Linked DNA regions of Saccharomyces cerevisiae S288C. Changing the gene in region 2 together with the main gene of any one other region gives a genetic interaction. Each region holds a gene or a part of one and is shown on either strand. Other genes may lie near its edges.

Region 1 (3,132 bases), on a different chromosome or scaffold from region 2:
GTAGTGCATAATTGTGTGACGGATAATCGTTTTTTCTTTAGCTGATTTACTTGAATGTCAAAATAGGGATTCTCTAAACCTCTGGGGAATCTGTAATTGATAAACGAAGGATTTTCAGGGTCTTCTCCAAATAATTCTTTAACGCTGGCCAATTTTTCGCTCAACAATGCTCCTTCCTTAGTATTTGTCTCTTTTGTCGGACTGGTGTTATCGAAAAATGGCAAATTATTGATTCTATCGATATCCGAGGCATTCAGGATACCGCTTGGATCATTAGTTGGAACATCATACATATGATTTTTCTTCGAAGGTAGTATAAATGTTCCATCAAGGGACTTATCGTTTAAATGTACAAATCTCCTAGGATGAATTAAAAATCCATACTTGTTGATTAGTGCCCGGCCCAGCATACGATAAGTACAGAAGAAAAGCAGAAAGCCTACTTGAAAAATTAAGAAAACAAAGACAGTCTACAAAGCTTTTCTGTGTACTATGCCTGGGTCCCCCCTCATACTCATCTTTGTTGCACGTTTGATTGGCATGGTAAATCACAATAGCACTTGAATTACTTCATCTTTTTTCGCATCCATAAATGACAACGCGGGTAATACTGCCTTATGCTTGTTGTTATTATTATTCGAAATCGCTTATTTATTTACGTACTTGCTTCCACTGTACACTTATATATGCAATTTGCCACTGCTTCATAGGATATAGCTGATTAGTTGCAAAACACCACCACCTACGAGAAGAAACAGAAGAATACCCAACCAAGTTTTGGATATCACAGGTGCGGTTTTCTCAGTTTTGCCCTCCTTCTTCTTACCGTATTTTCTATACTTTTCGTTATTCTTGTTAAACTTGGCATTAGCCAGTCTTTGTCTTGGTGTCTGTACGGCCATCGCAGGTGTTGTCCTCTATCTACTTCGACCTCTGCACCCTGCTATTTCTGCATGTAATGCTGTGCTGAAATTATATTTGATATAACGCAAGTAAGCGCAGATGGCGACAAGAAAAAAAGCCACGTCAAGTCATTAGACACGATATCACATACCACGAGATCTGCGCCTCGCTTTTTCTTTTCTTTTCGCGTTGGCGACTTTCCTTTTTCGTTGGCGATTTAGTGCTGGTTTTGTTTATTTTTCCACGCTTTTTCGTCGTACAGCAAACGTGAAAATTCGAAACTTGGGATTTTCATTTAAATATACCACGAATGCAGATGTGATTCATCACAAACGTTCCTGTCTTGGCAATATAGAAAATTTTCTTGCTTAGCCTTGTTTCACTTCCATTATTTTCAGATTTGTTTTAATTTTATTTTCGCATCTCTACTTTTTATATCTCTCGAACTTTGCTAGTTAAACTTCTTATCTCCATTCAATTTTTTTTTATATTATAATTATTTCTTTTCTCGCAAGAAGACTCCAGAATCAAAACTCAAACCAACCTAACTTATCCAACTTCTAGTCACTCCTTCAATAGAACGTCTTTTTCTCACCTTTTCGTTTTTCCATTTACACCCCATAAAATATCTAAAACCTAACGGAATTTGAACGAAAAAAATGTTACAAAAGCTTTCCATGACCGCATTAGTCGGTTTGTTTTCTTCAGTTGTGTCACTCGTGAACGCTGATTGTACTTACTCTGGCGGTAATTACTATTGTGCTCAAACCGATGCCATCATTTACTCTAACGTCGGTTTATCTGCTACCTACCAAGATGTCACCAATATGGATGAATCTTCTTGTGCTTGTACCCAAGCTGATTTCACTGCTTCTGGTAGCTTGGCTCCCTTCAACGAGGAACTATCTGTTCATTTCAGGGGTCCGATCGAGTTACTACAATTTGGTGTTTACTACCCAAATGGTGAATCTAATGCTTTGAAGAAAAGATCAGAGAAACAATCAATCGAGTCCTGTAAGGAAGGTGAAGCTGTTGTCTCCAGACATAAGCATCAGCACAAGAGGGATGTTGCTGTTGAATATGTTCAAGTTACTTCCACTGTTTACGTCGACAGTAATGGTCAAACAGTCACAGCCGATTCCACCAATACCGTTGTCGGTCCTGCTGTTCCTTCTTCTTACACTAAAGACTCTACTGTTTTGTCCAGCAGTGCTCAAGCAGTTGAAACGAGTGAAAGCCAGTCTTCCATCTCTTCCTCTAAAACCACCTCTTCTGCTGCTGCTGCTTCATCATCTTCGTCATCATCTTCTAACACTAACGGTGACTGGTCCAGAGGTTCCTACTTTGTCCCAGGCTCTACTAGCAACTGTACATTCATGAACAACCAAGGGGGGACTGCCGGTTCTGGTGTCTGGTCGAGTTGTTTCGGTAACTCCATCTCTTTTGCTGCTTCAGATGGTGTTTCTGGTGCTGCCTCCGCTCAAGCTCTTGGTGATGTCACCATTAAATCTGGTAATGAATTCATGATTTTCTCCGGTGAAGAATGTTCCGGTAATAACGGCGATTGTGGTTATTACAGAGAAGGCATTCCTGCTTATCATGGGTTTGGTGGGGCTGATAAAATTTTCGTCTTCGAATTTTCTATGCCAAGTGACACCAGCGGTTCTGCCTACAATCAAGATATGCCAGCTATTTGGTTATTAAATGCAAAAATCCCAAGAACCTTGCAATATGGTGATGCATCTTGTTCTTGTTGGAAAACTGGCTGTGGTGAAATGGATTTGTTCGAAATTTTGACCGCTGGTTCTGATAAATTAATCTCACACATCCATGACGGCCAAGATGGTGGTACTCAAGATTACTTCGAGAGACCAACTGATGGTACTTTAAAGGCTGCCGTAATCTTTAATTCAAGTGATAAAACTATTCACATTATCGAAGTCGACGAAAGCTTTGATGCTACTTTAAGCGATGATGTCGTTGACCAATGGTTGAGCAAGTCCGGTTCTTCTGCGGCCTTGCCATAGTCGATCGTTTCTTATTAACCAATAAAATTTTCCTTTTTTTCATTTATGTTTCACTTGCTATTTTTTTCCTTCCCCGTTATTATTTTTGTTTTAGGGTTTCTGTCCACTTTGAACAGATTGTGTTATTTTCCAAGAACAATACATTATTGTAAAAAAAAAAAAAAAAAAAAACTAAACTAAAAAAAAAAAATTCACTCTTAAA
Region 2 (3,584 bases):
AAGATAGCATTTCAGACCCTTACATGCTTGTTGAGCAAGCAATCAATTCTGGTTCGTGGAATAGGGCAATTCATGCTATGGCATTCAAGGCATTGAAAATTTTTCTGGAAACAAACCCAGTATTGTACGAAAACTGTAATGCATTGTACTTATCAAGTGTAAAAGAAACTCAACAGCGTAAGGTGCAACGTGAAGAAAATTGGAGCAAACTTGAAGAATATGTAAAAAATCTAAGGATTAACAATGATAAGGACCAATACACAATCAAAAACCCAGAATTAAGAAACAGTTTCAACACAGCAAGTGAGAATAACACATTAAATGAAGAGAACGAAAATGATTGTGACAGCGAGATACAGTGAAACAGCAATTCATTACAAGCTCGAAGAAGTGAGGAAGTTTAGGGCATGCCACATTTCAAAAGAGCAGCAGTATATGAAGAGCAAAAAAGAACTGGTAAATGGGGTCAACTTGTTGAAGAAACCAAAGATAGAATCCCCGAATATTCGAACAAAACTATAGCAAAGATAAGCCACTTGGACAATGGTTGTTTGTGGCCTGAGATAAAGGTCTCTTTTTCTCATCATTTGAGCATACTTCAATCGATGTGTCTTCATTTTATTATTTCTATACTTTTCTCCAAATATATCTTCGTTTTTCTTTTCGCTTTCCTTCTTCCTTCTGCCTTTCCTCTATTTATTTTGCACTCCACTCTTTTCCGTAAACCTTGCCTATCTATTATTGGATTTTTGAAAACTAAAGTATAAAGGTATGTCATAAATAATTAAATAACAAAAAAAATAGGATCATGATACAAAAAAGTGCCTTCCCCTTAGCACAGCTGATCCAACAATTTTAAGAGCTTGAAAAGCAACCTATACGTAGTTTTTTTGGCGACTGGTAAAAAAGAACTGAATAATTAATGCCTGCACTATACTGATACCAACCATTACCCCCATAATTAGTAATGAGAGCCATGTTAATCTTGACTCAGTAGAACTCACAGTATACATGTTTCTCCATTCTCTAGCCCTTAAATAATCCATTGTTTTGGTGATCTTATTCAGGTTCCTATCAATTTCCTCGATGGCGTTGTTTGCGATTATGTCCTCTTTGCTTTCATGGGAAGAAACAATTTCCTTTTCCTTTTCGAGGGTGATTTCAACTTTCTTTGGGGAAGTGCCGTAGTTATTACTCAAACAGAAAGTGTACTTACCTATACCAAACGACTTCAGTAGAAAATCAGAATGCTTCTTTTGTCTTTCAGTGACGATAACAGAGCCATCAGGGGCGGTAATATCGAAGTCTATCTCGAAATTCCCACCTGTCAAAACTTGGTAACTGACCACAAGGACATCTTTATCAGAGGATAAATCATAGTAAAGACATTCTTTGGTAAAAGCAGGTAATGATATGCCTACAGGAGCATAATTAGAGGAGAATGCATGTGTTAACAAAGATGAACTAAACAAAATCGCAATCAAAGTAAAAACGCGCATAATTCCTAGCGATGATTGGGAATATATATTTATGAAAAAACTTCACTAGCGCTCGTGAAACTACTTCAAAGGCAGCTGGGAAATAAATGTCTTCAAAGCAGAGAAGAGTTCCCAAATAGAATTCTCAGATCGTCAATCGCTCATCTTTGAGTATATCACGTCAAAAAACAGGAAACAGTGAAAAAAAAGTAGTCCATAATAAAGCGCGTTTCCGTCAATGCCGTTGGTTAATAAAGAAACAAATATGTAAAAATATAATATAAACAGGGCACTTGAGAGAGCACAAAAAAGAGCCAAACGCTACCTGATACTTTTATAGTTTTGATAATGGGGTTCTACAACTGTAGATTCCTGTCCAGACGTCTATCTGTTGAGCCTTGCAGAATAGGTAGCGCCGCTAAAAGCTATCAACAGCGATCGATTTATCACTTTGGCGCTGCTCTCACAAATGCCCCTAGTGGAAGAGAAACACCAGACAAGCTACGTTCTGACCTGCATAGTGCTTTAGAGATGGTCGATGAAATATATGACACAAATTCGACTGTAGAGGACATTGGAAACAAGGAAAAGGGAGGTCGACAAAAATATACGGAAGAAATGGACAAGGCGATTAATCTACTGAAAACAAATATAAAGAAGGAGTATAGACATGATAAGTATTTGGAGCGGACAAAGGTAGGAACGTATCCTGGTAGAAGAACATATCCTGGTAGGAGAACATATCCCGCTAGGAGAACATATCCCGCTAGCAGAACATATTCAGATAGCAATTCATACACTTTTCGGATAAATGTCCAGAAGATTAGGCACGCATTAGTACGTTACAATCAAGATGGTGTTCAAAAACACAACCAAAAGCCTCCTAGGATTGGTCATGGATTAACGAGAGTGTTATACCAACCGTTGTCGCTACAAAAATTGAGAGATAATAGGAGCAGAATGTATAATTTTGACCCTGCAGTGGAAAATATTAATCCAGAGTATTTGGAAAAGAAAAGTGAAAAAGATGTGAACACAGACTCCTCTGGAGAAGGACAAAGCAAGCCAATATTCATCACACCCCACAAAGATGAATCTCTGTTAAAGGTTGCCAAAGAACATAGAAAAAAGTACATATCTTCATCAAGTTCCATGACATCAGTACTTTCTCAGTTGCACTATTTATTATCCAATTTCAGAAGATTGAATATCATTGATTCCTCGATATCGAAAAATTTTCCTCAAAAAAACTGCAATTATTCAGAAAGTGCATATTTTCCGTCAGCAGTCATTCTGAGAAAGAAGAGAAATGGCATTTGTTCTATTGATTCAGATAGAAGTCTGGATAGGGAGATTGTGCTTTCTGTACTAGGTCATTATCTTGAAGACTTTTTAACGGAAAAGTCCCTGAAGAATAGTTCAAAAAGTGAAAATTATCACTATTCTAGTATAGATGAATTCATTGTGAGATCTCAATTGGACGCGTACGACCCAAATCTACCTGGAACGGGTGTATTTGATCTGAAGACAAGAGCAGTTTCTGCCATAAGATACGATTTATCACATGTAGAGAGTAATAACAACCAAACTGGATATGAGATAGATAAAGTTTATGGGGAATTTGAGTCTTTGGAAAGAGAATATTTTGAACTAATCAGGTCTGCCCTTCTAAAGTATTCTTTGCAAGCTAGAATTGGCAAAATGGACGGTATTTTCGTTGCATACCACAATATTTCTAAGATGTTTGGATTCCAATATCTACCTTTGGACGAATTAGATTATATAATCCATTCTTCGTATAACAGCAAATTCGACAGTTTGTTAAAGGAGAAGAATGATATCACAAAAGGGATATATGGTGAGGAGGACTACATTCTACACTATGACAGGGACGATAGGAAAATTGCTTGCTTGGTGGCTAATAGGGAATTTAAGATGTCTATGAATCTGTTCAGTAATATTTTGAAACACGTTGAGCAGTTACTTAACTCAAGTAATACGAAATGGGAAAAATGCAAAATAATGCTTAAAACCGAAGTTGAAGAAAAACGATCCAAAAGTGGCCGCTTCTTTAACGAACCGGTGCTAAATATTGTAGCCCTGCCG

What was found. Genes that interact genetically often act in the same process or in processes that back each other up.
Region 1: mutations in ERP4 (region 2) and YSY6 together harm fitness more than expected from each alone (negative genetic interaction), as found in Saccharomyces cerevisiae (one large-scale study listed by BioGRID).

Annotation. Positions count from the first base shown.
Region 1 is NC_001134.8:563,001-566,132, reverse strand, and holds YSY6 (Ysy6p), read right to left. Parts: upstream 903-3,132; coding exon 705-902; downstream 1-704. Other genes in the region: EXO5 (Exo5p), read right to left, coding at 1-410; TOS1 (Tos1p), read left to right, coding at 1,563-2,930. UniProt on the Saccharomyces cerevisiae protein: Interacts with target proteins during their translocation into the lumen of the endoplasmic reticulum. Protects unfolded target proteins against degradation during ER stress. May facilitate glycosylation of target proteins after termination of ER stress.
Region 2 is NC_001147.6:359,586-363,169, forward strand, and holds ERP4 (Erp4p), read right to left. Parts: upstream 1,500-3,584; coding exon 876-1,499; downstream 1-875. Other genes in the region: protein phosphatase 2A regulatory subunit RTS1, read left to right, coding at 1-362; YOR015W (uncharacterized protein), read left to right, coding at 408-767; PET127 (Pet127p), read left to right, coding at 1,827-3,584. UniProt on the Saccharomyces cerevisiae protein: Involved in vesicular protein trafficking.